Linked DNA regions of Tamandua tetradactyla. The protein of the gene in region 1 purifies or fractionates together with the protein of each later gene. This does not show direct contact. Links are inferred from orthologs where the notes say so. Each region holds a gene or a part of one and is shown on either strand. Other genes may lie near its edges.

Region 1 (7,438 bases):
AGATTAAGTGCATGTATTTCTGGGGTACACAACTCCAAATCACCACAGTCTATACATTAAAAAATAAAATTGTATCATTGTTAGCAAATCTGAGTTTTTTCTTCTTTTTTTTGGGCATGGGAGGGCTCTGGGAATCGAACCTGGGTGTCCTGCATGGCAGGCAAGAATTCTGCCCCTGAGCCACCACTGCCCCCCAAAACTCCTGAATTTGATCAATGTATTGTGGTTGTGTAAGAGAATCTCTTTGTCCTTAGGAAATACAAGCTAAAGTATTTAATTGATATCTGTGACTACCTTTAAATTGATGAGTTCAAATGTGTATGTCTGCATATGTGTGAGTGCGTGCCTACAGAGAGAAAGAGTGATAAAGCAAATGTGACAAAACACGAACAGCTGGTGAATCTGGATGAAGGGCACAAAGGAGTTCTTTGCATTTTCTTGGAACTTTACTCTTAAGTTTCAAATTATTCCAGAGTGAAACATTTTTAGAAAAATCTAAGTTAGACTTAGACCAGTCGGGGACACAGCTCCTAATCTGAGTAGGATTTGAAGGTATGGGAGTTAAGAGGAAATTAAATCTTGGGGAAATAATGTTATTTTGCCTTGATATTTCATTTCATTTTCAAAAATGCTTGCACAGCTCCCCTCCTGCTCGCCTTCTAGACCTGAGGGAGGCAATGGAAGACAAGGAGGTGTGGCTGAATGACGTTCCCGGACTCTGACTTGCTGTCCAGTGTGCTTTCTTCCCAAGTGAACCTCTTTCCTGGTCCTGTGCTGGAAGCCGGCTCCCCAGGTAGCTGTCAGGAGCTCCTTGGACTTGGAGCGTCTGTCTAGCTCTGGCCTCCTCGTGCTTTTTGCCTCCTGGGACTGTTTTCCAGCTGTTCTTCTATTGGGCTTCCTACCTGTCCCCACCCCTACCTGCATCAGACATCACTCCAGGGGTGGCCGATTTTCATCTTCCCTGTGTATCTTTCCAGGGTGGTTGTTCTAGTTTGCTAGCTGCTGGAATGCAATGTGCCAGAATTAGAATGGCTTTTAAAAAGGGGAATTTAATAAATTGTTAGTCTACAGTGCTAAGACCAAGAAAATGTCCCAGTTAAAGCAAGTTTATTAAAATGTCCAAACTAGGGCACCAACAAGATGTTACCTTCACTCAAAAAAAGCTGATGAAGTTCAGGGTCTCTCTCTCAACTGGAAAGGCACATGGTGAACACAGAGGCGTCTGCTAGCTTCCTCTCCAGGCTTCTCGCTTCATGCAAGTCCCCTAGGGGTGTTCTCCTTCTTCATCTCCAAAGGTAGCTGGCTGGTGGACTCTGCACTTCACTGCTCTCTTGGAATCAAAAAAGGGACTGTCTCCAAAATGCTTCTTCTTTTAAAGGATTCCGGTAAACTTATCCAGACCCACCTGGAATGGGTAGAGTCATCCCCCTCTGTTCAAAAGTTAACACCCACAATTGGGCGAGCCACAGCTATTGGGCAGAGATAATCTAATCAAGTTTCCAGCATACAGTGCTGAATAGGGTCCAAGAGAAATGGTTGTTCCCACAAAATTGGATTAGGATTAAAACATAGCTTTTTTAGGTACATAAATCTTGTCAAACCAGCACAGTGGTGTAGCCCAGTGTTAGGTATACAGAAGGAGCTCTGTAAGTCTTTCCTGATCCACTATTTCAGAAAGCTTTTAATGAAAGCTCAGAGGATAGGAGATGGGTATGAACAATTTTTTTTTGGTCCTTGTGATGGTCAGGTTCATGTGTCAACTTGACCGGGAGATGTTGTCCACTTATCTGGTCAAGCAAGCACTGGCCTAACTGTGACATTTTGTGGACTTAAATCATCAGTAAGTTGATTGTGCTTGCATGGCTGATTACAACTACAATCAACTAAGGAGAGTGTCTTTGGCAATGAGAGATGTTTCATACAATCAGTCGAAGGCTTTAAAAGGAGAAGTGATGACTTCAGTAGTCAGAAAAAAGAACTTTCATCTCCACTTCAGCCAACCAGCTTTTCCTGAGGGGAGTTCATCAAATACCCTCACTGGAGTGGCCAGCTTGCTGCCTGCCCTACAGAATTTGCACCTGTGCATCCCTACAGTTGCATGAGACACTGTTATAAAATCTCACAATATTCACAGATATCTCCTGTTCGTTCTGTTTCCCAAGAGAACCCCGACTGATAAGTCCTCTAACTATCAACAGGCTTAATGCGTATTAATTTTAGAAGAGGTATGAACACACAAGCCAACAAACCAAGAGAATTCACAAAATGCTCCATTTTGAATGAGTAGAACTTTTGACATGGGTGCTGTAAAGCTGAAACCCATGTTGTACTCAGGGGTGGGACCATGCTGTGGCCCAGCTCTCTCCTGGCCTTCCTGAAGGGGGTCTTTACATGTGCTGATCCTCTCAAGTCCCTTGAAAACTTCTGTAGGGAAAGGGTGGCCTTCATCAGTTTTGCCACTGTGTGACCTTTCCCCAGCCCCCGAACACCAAGTTCTGCCAACTGGCAGCAGCCCCCAAGAGGCACTACTTACACTAAGTCTCGATCTCGTCACTGAAAGTACCCCGGGGAGGTGGACAGAGCAGGCTTTAGTGTGACAATCCTGGGACAGCAATTTCACCCCAAGTGGCAGGATGGACTAAGTGAGGATGTAGTGCTACCTCCTAAGGAGGCTTCACATGTGAGTGACCATCAGGGTAAGGCAGGATGGAATAGGCCATCAAGGCTGTGGTCCCTGGTCTTCTATTCAGCTTCAAAAGAGTTAATACAGAGCTGCAAACTTCCTAGGACAAGAAATTCCCCTAAAGCCCTGAAACCTCCTCAAACCATTGAAACCTCCCCAAACCATAAAAGCTTGTAAAATCCTGGACCCAAAGCAAATTCTTAGTTAATGATAGGAAGCACAGGGCCATAAAGATTGTTAACCATATGCTCAAAGATAAATTTTAGGTATGTGACAACAAACCATGAATTCTCCTCCTAGAACAGAGAAGAGGCCTCCTGCCCAAAGGCCACCGTGGGAATCTGCACAAAGAAGACACCTGGTGCTCACAGGTTACTACGGAAACCTGCTACCAACAAGACATCCTATAAAGCAAGCTAAACCCCACCCACTCAGTGCCCCTCCCCTGGGCATGGCTGCATTAACCTCTCTAATATGTACTCTCTCCTTCTGTTTAATAAATTTACTATTTATTCTTACTGCCTTCTCTAAATTCTTTTAGCTGTGGGACCTGGAAGGGGGCTCAGGTGGCACCATTGCGAACCAGGTACCAGTTACAAAGGGACTTCTGTCCCTTGGAGGTGAGTGAAGGTCATTCATTACACCCCATTCCTGTTTCTTTTCCCTCCCTGGTCTTTCCAAATTGGTTCAGGAATACTCTGGTTGATATGAAAAGCAGGCATCAGAGATGGAATTGTAAGATTTACTGTTTGTCCCCTAGGAAACTGTAAGATGCAAGAAGCTGCAGAGTGCACCCACTTCAGAGCTTTGCTATCTGGGTTCAAATCTGGGCCCCAACATTTCCCACCAGCATGAACGTGGGCAGAATTATTGAATCTCTGTACCTAGGTTTCCTCATCTGCAAAGCAGGAATGATAATATTAGCACCTTCCTTATAAGGGCTGTTGAGAGGATTATACAAATTAATACATAAAGCATTTAAACCATGGTCTGTGTAAACCTTTGCTATTACTGCATTGCACTGAATCTGATACATGATCTTATTTTATGTAACACTAAGAAATTAAGTGTTGTCAGTTGAGCTTAACCTCCCCTTCCTCCCTCAGCCAACCTCCAAACCTAGAAAGAACTTTTGTTTCTAAATAATAGCAATAGAGCTATCACAAACATTATGACGTGTTATTAATTGTAACTGCATCTAAAATTTATACTGATTTCAGAAATGTGAAACAAATGTGTTCCAAAATAGATGGAACATAGTATAGCTGTGATTAGTGGGCTAGAGCTAGTGTCAGCATTCTATGCCTTAGGCACCCGGGTAACTTTATGCAAACTACCTAACCTCTCTGTGCCCCAGTTTCCTCATTCGCCAAGAATGTTCGGTGAGTTAAATATGTAAGTACTTAGAAAGTGCCCGGCCTAAGTAGACACTATCTGGCTTATTACTTAGAAACAAAGTTCTTCTTTCCAGGTTCGAAGTTTGGCTAGAGTAGGGAGGACAGTAAGCACCGAGTTGGCTTTTTAAACAAAGGAGGCCCTGTCCTCTCCCACCTCCCAAGTCGCCCAGGTAAGGAGAACCTGCGACCCCAGCCTCCGCCCCCACTCGGCCCCGCCCTACGGGGGCCGGCCCCGCCCCGCTCTTCCTGGCCCTGCCCCTAAGCTAGTCTCGCGCTCTTTCAAATTGCGCGAGCTCCAGCCGAGACCCAGGGTTGGCGGTTAGTTGGGCGAAACCATCCTCTACGCTACGTGGGAGGAAGGTAAAAGCCTACGCGCCCACGTTTTTTCAGTTTTTAGCTTTTCAAGTCCAACTGGTGATGTTATTTTAGACGAAAAGTACTATTAGCACGCGCAGACTCCAAAGAGGGAAGCTGACTAGCCGGAGAGAGGTTATTGTGTTTCTGTGCGGGGTCCTCCCCCCTGTTGGCGGGGATCCGGTGGGAGAGGATGGCGACGGGCGGGGGAAGGAGGCGGCCCTAGCGCCATTTTGTGAGAGCGAAGCGGTGGCTGGCCTGCTCTCGGGCCCGTCGGTGTTTTGGTTTACCTGTCGGGCTTCCTAGCAGCTTCCTGGAGGGTGAGTTGCGGACGCTTCCCACTGAGGACGCCCTGGATGGCGCTGCTTTCCTATTGGGGTGGCCTAGGCAGATGCAGAGGCGTCAGAGTCCGCCTGGGGAAGGGAGCCATGAGGCCAGGCCTCCCTCGTCCTGCCCGAGTAGGCTCGCGCGGGAGCGGCGTTGGGGGGAGCCGCGGGCCGGCAGCAGGCGCCAGTGTTGGGATGCTGGGCCCACGGGGCCATCCAGTATGAGGCGGAGTGGGTGTAGGGACCGTGAGTTGGCCTTTCTCCTGGCCCGGCCAGTGCTTTATCCCTTAGGCACTTGGCACTCGGGGGGACACTGTCAGCCCAGGCCTAGTACCCCTGCGGCTCCACCCCGGGACGCGCTTAAAAACTCCTCCCTCGGCGGTCACGCGCTGGCTTCTGGGAGGTGGCAGCGCGGATCCGAAGGACTGGTCGTAGCTGTTCCTAAGGCACAAGTTTGGAGAGTCCACGGAAGCCCTAAAACGAGGGACCGAAGGGAAGGGAACTTTTCTCTCTTCACCTAGCTCATTTCTTTTCGTTCAGTCTTCAAGTTTGAGCATTATACATCACTTTCTTAAGGAAACCTATTGTGGCATGCGTGCTCTTTGGCATACATATGCACACGCCTCAACCAGCTTTGATTCTCCCCGGCTTTCTCAGAGTTATTTACTTTTTTTTCCCGGTAGCATATGTATGTCTCGATTGCAACAAAATTACATGTTAACTGTATTTCTGCTGATTATTCCTACCCCTTTGTAACCAAGCATGCCACTTGGGATCGACTGCTTTCATAGTCCTAAAGTTGCAGCACCTGATGCAAAGTAGTTACTTACTGAATGAGTGAACCTAGGACGGTATCGTATTTTAATAGGAAATTGCTTTCCTTGTGCTTGCCTCATCTCTTAGTGATAACCGATAGGTGTAAGAATCAGAGCAGCAAGAATTTTTGTGGAAGTTGTAGAACCATAACCTGGTGATAGGAGTTTTCACCTGATTGTAAGAAAAGTGTTCTTCATGTGAGTGTTGGTCATTCATCTCTCTTTTCACTTTAAGAAAAATAAGAAAAGATGTCTGAATATATTCGGGTAACCGAAGATGAGAATGACGAGCCTATTGAAATACCATCAGAAGATGATGGGACAGTGCTGCTGTCCACAGTTACGGCCCAGTTTCCAGGAGCATGTGGTCTGCGCTACAGGAATCCAGTGTCTCAATGTATGAGAGGTGTCCGGCTAGTAGAAGGAGTTCTGCATGCACCTGATGCAGGCTGGGGAAATCTTGTCTACGTTGTCAACTATCCCAAAGGTTTGTTACCACTTGGTTTTACAATTATGCTGAAGTATGGTGAGGTTGTTTCTCATTCTGAGTCATCCATCATGGCCTCCGTTTATGGTGAAACATCTCCTATAATGTTAGTTGTTCCTCAAACTTTATTAGACTGCTTTGAGTGACAACTAGCCTAGATTAGTAAAAATTGAGAATTGTGGGGCATTTCTAGAGAAAAAATACTGTATTTTTTTAATCAGAACAAGTGTAAACCAGACTGGTGACAAATTTAAGAAACTATTAAAAACAATACAGTCTTCCAAAGTGCCCCCAGATTTGGATTTGGTTGGTCATTGCTCATACAGTCACATCCTTCATTCGCCTAATCTGACATCTTTTATTTTCCGTTAAGTGAGCATCAATTGCAGTACCTCAAATCTTGACTCAATCAGTGTTGGTCCTGGTCTTATTTCTTCTTGCTGCCTCTTCTCAGTGATGTTCTAAATTTAAGAAAAGTAAAAATGAACATTAAGAAAGCTATAGGTGCATTTTAGCAGCAGGAATGCACATATCTACATGGTAACTTTTATTTATAACTTGATATTGCAACAAGATTAGCCCATCAGACTTCTTCAAGATGGAGGACATCTAGAAAATTTTTAGAAGTGCAGTTCAGGTTTTCTTAGGTACGATTTTTAAACCATTGGCTATAGATTAATATTTGTCCAAATTTAAGATGTTACTCATATCCTAAAGATTACTTTTTTTAAAAAAAAAATGAGATTTTTTTAATTACAGAATTAATATGTTTGCATTGTGGAAAGATTAGGAAAGACAAAAAACTTAAAATTATCCTTAAATCCACGACTTGGAGATAAGAGTTCCTATTTTTTTGGTATATGTTCTTTAGGTTATAAAAGATATTTAGATAATTTGGCAAATATGTTTACTGTGTAAGCACAAAGATAGTATACTGGTTTTTAACCTTTTCTTTTTCCTGAGTTTAATGTTATTTTTAAGTCAAAGTGAGGTAATTTTGTTTTGATACACTTTTCCAGTAGGAGAATATGCAGTTATAGTCTTGTGAGTTGGGAATCCCTGAATTTACACCAGGAAAGTATCTCAGGCACTTATTCTAGGTCTTATTTTGTCCTTGAGAGCTAACATCATTTCTTGACAAAATTTTTCAATGTCTTACTCTTCTTGGATTTTTCCTTTTGCATTTCATTTCTAGACATAGAGGTGGTATGTTTTAAGACATGTTAAATGAAGTTTTCTGAGAGATTTCTGTTTTATTCAGATAACAAAAGAAAGATGGATGAAACTGATGCTTCATCAGCAGTGAAAGTGAAAAGAGCAGTCCAGAAAACATCTGATTTAATAGTATTGGGCCTTCCATGGAAAACAACTGAACA
Region 2 (8,242 bases), on another chromosome or scaffold:
TGCCCCTTTCTCTACTATCCTCCTTCCCTGAATAGGATGATTGAGGAGCGGGTAAGAGAACACGAAGTCAGAGTCCTAGCTTCCAGCCCTAGCTGGGTAAACTTGTGCAAGTTACTTAACCTCTCTGAGTCTGTTTTTTTTTTTATTGTGAAATATGACATATATACAAAAAAGCAATACATTTCCAAGTACATTTTAACAAGCAGTTATAGAATAGATTTTAAGGTTTGGTATGAGTTACAGTTCCATGATTTTTTGTGTTTTCTTTTAGCTGCTCCAAGACACTGGAGACCAATGGAAATATCAGTGATTCAGCAGTCATACTTATTTGCTAAATCCTTTCTTCTCTATTAAACTCCTCCTTCTTTAAAAATAACATATATACACAAAAGCAATACATTTCAAAGTATATCACAACAATTAGTTGTAGAACAGATCTCAGAGTTTGGTATGGGTTACAATTCCACAATTTTAGGTTTTTACTGTTAGCTGCTCTAAGGTACTGGAGGCTGAAACAAGTATAATGATTCAGCACTCATACTCATTTGTTAAACCTGACCTTCTCTGTATAACTCCACCATCACCTTTGATCTTTTTTCCACTCTTTAGGGATATTTGGGCTATACCCATTCTAACTTTTTCATGTTGAAAGGGCTATCAATAATATGAGATAGGGGAATGGAACTAGTTGATGTTCTGGAAAGGCTGGCCCCTCTGTATTTCAGGACTTATCTGGTCCAGGGACCCATTTGGAGGTTGTAGGTTTTGGAAGGTTACCCTAGTGCGTGGAACCTTTGTAGAATCTTATGAAATGCCCTAGGTATTCTTTAGGATTGGCAGGAATGGTTTTGATTGGGGTTTGGCAAGTTATGAAAGGTAGCAATGTTTAACTGAAGCTTGTGTAAGAGTGACTACCAAAGTAGCCTCTCAACTCTATTTGAACTCTCAGCCACTGATACCTTATTTTTTCCCCTTTTGTCAGGACAGCATTGTTGATTGCACGGTGCCAGGGCCAGGCTCATCCCTGGGGATCATCCACCCCTAGATGTCATGTCCCCCATAGGGGGGAGGGTAATGGTTTCACTTGCACAATTGGGCTTAAAGAGAGAAAGGCCACATCTGAGCAACAAAAGAGGGCCTCTGGACGTGGCTCTTAGGTATACTGATAGGTAGGCTAAGCTTCTCTGCTATATACATAAGCTTCACAAGAGCAAGCCTCAAGATGAAGGACTTGCCCTTTTGATTTGGTCTCAGCCTGTTTTCGTACTTCAGAAATGGGAAATAGGGCTGTTGTGAAGATTAAATGAGATCATCTTTGTAAAGAATATCAACGAAGTGCCAGGCTCATGATGTGTGCTCCATAGGATTTGAGGAAGTGAAGCCTTTGCAGACAGTGCCAAAGGAGGAAGTAATCCAGTTAGGCATGTATTTCCAAGTTAATAAGGATCTGTTTGGATCTTGGTATGATTTTTTGTACAATAAGGAGTGGAAAAAAAAGAATTCAGTGAGTGGAGGAAGGAAGCCTCATTTTCAAAACCCTCAAAACCTACAAAGGTAAGTGTGGCATTCCACCTGGTTGGTTTGTTTTAAAGATCAAAGTTTCCATATTTGCAGTTCCTTGTGCCAGTATTAAATTTTTTTAAAATACATGCACATGGTAAAACAAACAAACAAACAAACAAAACTTTACTGTACCAAAGTTTATAGAATGGAAAGGAAGAGTTTCTTCTTTCCTGGCCCAAGTTTACCTCCCTATTAGCAATTAGTAACAGTTTCTCGAGACTCCTTTCGGACATAACCTATGCAGACACAGCAAAATCAAAGAAATAAATAACTATAGCAACACTGTGTATCAAAAGAAATAATCACCTCATAGCTACTCTTCCATTTTTACACAAATGTTTTTTTCTATATTTCTTCTATATTTTGCTCTCTTCATGTGTTGATTTCTCTTAGAGATCATTCTATAACCATACATATAGGTATATCTTGTTTTCTGTGTGGCTGCCTAACAGTCCATTGTAAGAGTGTACTGTGTTGTATTATATCTATACCAATCTCATATTGCTAGAGATGTGGACTGTTTCCTCTTTCTACTAGAAACAGTGTTGCAATGAATATTATTATACTGGGTTCTTACCCACAGGTGAGAGTTTAACAGTTAAGACTCATACATGCACACATTTGCTTTAATGCAATTTTATTGAGATAAAGTCACAGACCATAGATGCCATCAGCACACACTTTTTTTTTCATGAGGCAGGCACCGGGAAATGAACGCACACACGTTTTTCATAAGGCTTAGCAAACTATTAGCTATGTTTGCGAAACACTGATCCAGATGATGTTTTAAGGGCCATTCTTTAATATTTCTCACACCCTTCCACTTCTTCCATCAGACTAAGTTTTCTGGGTCTTAGCATGCTTCCACTCCCTCTGATTTTCAGAGCTTTGGGGAGGACTGGCAGAAAGAGAAGAGTGAGGTAGTATATTGGAGGGGATTGTAGAATTTGCTTGGCAATGGAGATCAAGAGCAGAAGGACGCTTGGGACTTTTCCTTAGAGAACTTAAATTAATCTCCTAGAGGAGAGTTTCTCAACCTTGAGCTTTATCCAGTAGATGCCAGACTGTAAATTTTTGCCAATTTGGGCTCACTAGAGTTTCAGTTTGGAGTGTCATCTTTGTAAAATGCAAATCTTAGCCCACTTTAAAAAATCCTCCAGGGGCTCTCCACTGCCCTCAGAATAAAGTCCGGATTCCTTACTATGAGCTACATGATCTTAGAGGTTCCTTAGCTCAGAAAATTTCAGCCACTTCTTTCCTCTAGGCTGATTTCCCTCCTCTGCCAGCCAGTTCCTCCGTCTTGGGATCTCCTGCCCCAAACGCAGAGCCCCAGTCTGCTGAATGGGTGAGGTTAAGCAGGGACAACGACTTGATCATTCCTGACCCCCAGTCCATGCCGCTCAATAAATGCTGGATGAGCGAGGCTGATACGGGAGCGGAACCTTGGAGGACCAGATGTGGGACCACAACCCCCAAGAAGGTGCTCTTTCTATCTCTCCTGTGGCCTCCCCGCGTCTCCAGTCTTCGCGGCCAGGCTTGGCCTCGGGAGGTCCAAAGAGGACAGGGCCAGTCACGCTAGGCTGCTTGCTGCGGGCGCCCCTTTTTCCTTCCAGCCCGGGCTGGGCCGGCCCAGCTCAGTCTTCTCTCCTCCCACAGAGACGACGCTCAACTTACTTCACTTCCAACTTTCTTAGTAAAACTTAACGGGAGACCCTTCTGGATGGGCACAAGGCTGAAATGAGAAATTACTGGGGCGTGTCTGCGCTTTGGAACTCAACAAATGTCCACATAAAACGCTCATGGTGACCAAGAGAGGGCACAACAAAATGGTAAGAGACCGGGGCAGAACCTGGCTGGGGCGTCACTTGGCCCCTTAAGTATTTCGGAAAATCTTTGGAATGTCCATCTAGGAGTCTGACAATTTAACTTTTAAAGGAGCCACGACACGAAGAAAACAGCAAAATTTCCTCCCGCCCCCCACCCCCGCCTCCCTGCAATTAAAAGAGGAATGACAATGGCGGTGACGCACAGGATGTTGCATCAAGGTCCAAACTTGATCCGAGCATTTGCAAACTACCGTTCCTCCGCAACGACAAAAAGGGAAAATCTGATTAAAACACCCACGAGCCTCTGATTGGGCAGGCCAACAGCAGCACTTGCCAAGAGGCAACGGGGTAGAAATCTGTGCTCTCAAACTTAACAGTTTCACACGTCACCTTTTTGTATTACCTTACAGACACAACAGGAGTTACTTACTTCTTGTTTCCCTGTAACTGTTGCCCAACAATTATGTCGACTAACTATAAGAGCCAGCGAGGATCCTCAGGGTGTTGCATGGAAATAAAAGACAGTTGCAATAAAAAGGAGAAAAAATACCTAACCGGAAACTTTACCACTTTGTTCCTCTGGTATCAAGCTATGCGCAAAGGGTGGGAGCGGAAGCCTCGGGGGCCGGACCATGCAATGAGAAAGAAAGACCCGAAGCCCGAGCCAGGAAAGGATTACAACCGCCCTGCGCCGCACACGGGCCCTAGGGCTTGGTCGCCTTGGTCGCCTTGGAGCAGTCCAAGCCCCGCGTCAATCAGCTCCTTTCCGCATTGCGATTGGCCGGGGGTCTCCCTTGGACGCCCCAGCGCCCACCATCTAGTTGCTTGGGGTTTACTTCCCCAAAGTACACGGGCTCCACCTTGTGGAGCAACCGCTCCTGCCTGGAAAACGGATCTCCGCCCTGAGGAAGATGTTTTAACGAATGAGAGTAGTTCCCTGCACTTATTGGTTACTATGGGTATCGGTCAAATAACTTCCGCCCCCCTTTCCACTGTACCTTTTAGTTATTGGTTTCTCTTAGTGCCAATCCGTTACTAGGGAAACCGGATCCTCACAGCCTTATAGGCCAGTGTCAAAGCCAATCAAGAATCACGCCTTCACCTTGAGTCAGTACCCAATTGTGGTTCGAAGAGACCAGAGGACGCATTAGGGATTGGTCATCGGCTCGCCCGAGCTGGCCGCAACAAGTTAGGGTGAGTCGTGCTTATATAGACCGGCGGCGGAGCACGCGTGTGTGCGGACGCAGTTGCGTGAGAGATTTCTTGCCATCCGCCCTGCTGTGGAGCAAAGCTTGTTCCTCTCCCACTTAGCCGCACAGGTACACCGGGGTTTGGGCGGGGCTGGGCCGCCCGAGGATGAGGACGGGTCGGGGCCGTGTGAAAGGGAGCAGCGCTAGTGGCACTTACGGCGGCCGCGCGGGGCGCGTCCCCCAACCCCCACCCCAACGGCCGCAGGCACGCGAGGCGATCGGACGGGCGCGCGGCCTTTCCCCGCCCCGCTCCCGCGCCTGGCGCGCGGGGCCGCGTCCGCCGCGTGCGCGTGCCGCGTCCAACGGCCACGCGAGGCGGGAGCGAGCAGCAGTCGCCGCCCGGGCCTGGGGCCATCTCCGGGGTCCTTGGGGCCCCGCGCGGCCCCGTGGCCTGGCCCAGGAGGGAACTTTTCTTCAGAGGTGGGGGCGACGCTGAGTGCGATAACCTGCGAGGCAGAAGTGCCGCTGCGCCTTGGTTTTACAAGGAGTAATGAGGGAGCAGCCGCGTGTATGGATAGCGCTAACAACACCGAGAATTCTTTGTACCCCTCGCTGTGTGCCGGGCACTGTTCTAAGCAGGTCGTATACATTTCGTGTAACTCTCACAACGACCCAAGAGGTAGATACAGTTATTTCCCGCAATTTACGGTGGACTCTGAGACGCAGAAGTAGACGGACATGGTCAGAGATACGGACGGTAAGGGACAGCTATTTTTTTGAATCCAAGCTGTCTCACTCCTAGTCTTGAGCTCATTTTGTTCTTTGCTCTAATACTCTTTGCGGTCCCAGGTCACCTTTGCACCCAGAACACTGGTCACTGGATGCAACCGCAGCTTGGAAAGGCCAACTGCCGAGAAGACTGCGGCGGCATTTGCACTAAGGCCACATAATGGCTTTCAGGAAGACAGACAAGGGCTGGAAGTGGGATTATGACAAAGAAAAGGGGTCTGGGCTTCCTTTCTACGTGTGTTTGTGTAGATAGTTTATAGCTGTGCTGTCCTAACAGCTTCTGGAAAGTGTAGGAAAAAGTGAATTAATGCAAATCAAGGTGGACTATGTTACTAGTCAGGTATCAAACTCAACGTGGTAATGGGAAATTCCCGCCAGCAGAAAGTTAGAATCTGCTAAGCAGAACACGAATTTTTTTTCTTTTTCTTTTTTTAAATCGGAGCAAACTTTTGAGAAAGACCTTTGAGAAGATAGTTTAACTTCCTTGTTTTAAAGTTGAAGAAAATGACGTTTAGACCAGTGAGTTTCAGATTTCACCAACATGTGTGGGTTAAGATTTGAAATAGGAATGGAAAGAACGACTCCCAGTTACAGGATAAATTTGAGCTGGATGGAGTTTAAAATACTGAGTGAATTACCGGTGATTGCGATGTGCTGGAAGTCATACCCTTGTGGCAGTTGGAATCTTGCTTGCCTATATTCAATTCAGCATTTAGCATTTACCCTGCTGGGCTCTCACATATGCAGCAGAGTGGAAGGCACCTACCTGCCTTGCCTTTAAGGAAATGTGTTTATATTTTTCTTGTAGAATTAATTGTATTAGATTTTTTTTGAAGCCAGTATACTCCTTGGCTAATGAAATAATAAATGTTCCTAAGTTTCAAGTCCACATCGTTACTTTGCATTATAAATGCCTCTGCTTGAGACAGAACTATAGTAAAGTTTTTAGGACTCTCTTTTGAACTAGGCTTGAATTGAATAGCTTTCAAACTGTTCTCTTTTTATCTCTTCCTTTGTTTTCTTTCTATCTACCTCTTTCTCTCAAGAAATTTATCTATCCTGCTATGTTTGACCAGATACATTTAAGATTGGTGTTTTAAATAAATGGTTTTTGCAGTCAGAGGGAACACATAGTGTTGCATATCCTTGTAAATAAATTAAAAACAAGGAGGAAGTTTAATAAATGTCTCTCTGGAAATTGATACTACTGTTTCCCATGTTTCTTAGTAGAAACTAGCAATAGATAAAGGATCAAAGTATACAGGCAAGATCTTGCCTTTAGTTGATGTTGCCACAAATAACAGTTTGCTTTGAAATATAACATTGTTCTACGTCGCATGATTTTATGTAGCAATTCCTGTGACCTACATTTAGAGAATAGTTAACTACAAAATTAGTATTTTAAGACATGTTAAGATGTGAAATTTAAGTTTTAGTTATCAAATGTTAGAATACTATAATGACCTACATTTAGACTACTTAATTTGAGTCCAACTAATTTTATTAATGCTTGGGATAAAATGACTGAAATTGCCTTATGCATTGAGGGGAATTTTGTTAGTTTCTCCTTTAAATATTAAACGTACTATTCTTGCCCTCAGAGGAATGGTTATTAGTTGAGCAGAAATTTTAAAAATGATATTTTACAAATGGTACCCCAGTTGATCTTTTGTGCATCAATTTATCACGAACAAGTGAATTTTGAAGCAGGTTGTGGTAATACAAGACTTGAGTCTCCCTATTCCCCAAGTCATGTTATTTTTGTTAAGAGTTAAAAAATGTTTTCAAATTTGAGCTCTTGTACTTTTCTAACAAGTAGAAAAATGTAGGCAGGTCTTTGTCCTTTATTTAACCTACACTCAGCTGACAGTCTACTAAGGGAACTTCAAAAGATTTGGTCATGTTGGTAACCTACTTAGCAATTTTTTTTTTTTGTTTACTTGTTTTAGTATTTTGTATAGAAAGCCAAAGGTCAGCATAAAAAGCAGAGATTAGCTTTCACTTTTTATAGGTTTGGGAATTATATATAGTTCTTAGAGGATACTTGGGAGCCAATGTTAAAAGATGAAATTTAATATAAAGCATGAGTTTGTGGCTTGTGTGTGTGCGCGCTAGTTTTACAAAACTGCTTATCTGGTGTTTTCCTTACTTTTTATAATTAGGTTGGTTTTTAAAAAATAGTGTTTAGGAGTTCAAATATGCGTTGTGTGTTCATTTAATTATGTGTGGTTTAAGGCTACCTAGGACCAAAATTCCTACTGACTTGTCTTGAAACCTTACAAAAGGGCATCACTGTCAAAAGTAGGTAGATTAAAAAAAAAAAAAAAAAAACCCAACTGCTGTACTCCTCCTTCCAGGCCTGGAGTTAAATTTAGATTTTGCAACTGTAACCTAACTTTTAGTCAGTAATCACATTGGAAGTTAACTAGGTTTATAGTTTTAAATACTCAAAATTCAGTTTGCTGGTTTTTTTTCTTTTAATGCCCTCTTAGATACCCTGTCTGGCCTTGGTTAGAGAAATTTGACTTTTAAACTTGGAGACTGGGTGAAGAGCTAAAAATAATCTGCATGTGAAAACTCAAGAGCAGGCTTTACTAAGCAGAAAGCAATTTAAAAGTTCTTACAAGCTGTGGCCTAATAAAATATATTCTGCAGATGACTATAAGTGATAGATTCCCCCTTCTGTCAGGGTATTGTAGTATTGCTTAACTACTTATAAACTTCAGGTGTTTAATAAAAATTAAAGATTAGAGATTGATTGTTCAGAGAAAGATCTGGCTTCTTGGACAGGGCACACTTCTAGGGATGCAACCCTTGGTAGCTAGTAACTTATGTAGCTATCTAATGACGTTATTTGTCAAGCCTTTTGCATAT

Evidence for each region.
Region 2: the proteins of TARDBP (region 1) and G3BP1 purify together in Homo sapiens (affinity purification with mass spectrometry; 3 studies listed by BioGRID, with this or other methods). This does not show direct contact. The link is inferred for Tamandua tetradactyla from reciprocal best matches to the Homo sapiens genes TARDBP and G3BP1.

The regions. Positions count from the first base shown.
Region 1 is NC_135328.1:214,373,842-214,381,279, reverse strand, and holds the start of TARDBP (TAR DNA-binding protein 43), read left to right. Parts: upstream 1-4,362; 5' UTR 4,363-4,440; intron 4,441-4,465; exon of another isoform or gene 4,466-5,123; intron 5,124-5,810; 5' UTR 5,811-5,824; coding exon 5,825-6,062; intron 6,063-7,323; coding exon 7,324-7,438. UniProt on the Homo sapiens protein: RNA-binding protein that is involved in various steps of RNA biogenesis and processing.
Region 2 is NC_135346.1:32,602,829-32,611,070, forward strand, and holds the start of G3BP1 (ras GTPase-activating protein-binding protein 1), read left to right. Parts: upstream 1-4,954; 5' UTR 4,955-5,129; coding exon 5,130-5,336; intron 5,337-8,242. UniProt on the Homo sapiens protein: Protein involved in various processes, such as stress granule formation and innate immunity. Plays an essential role in stress granule formation.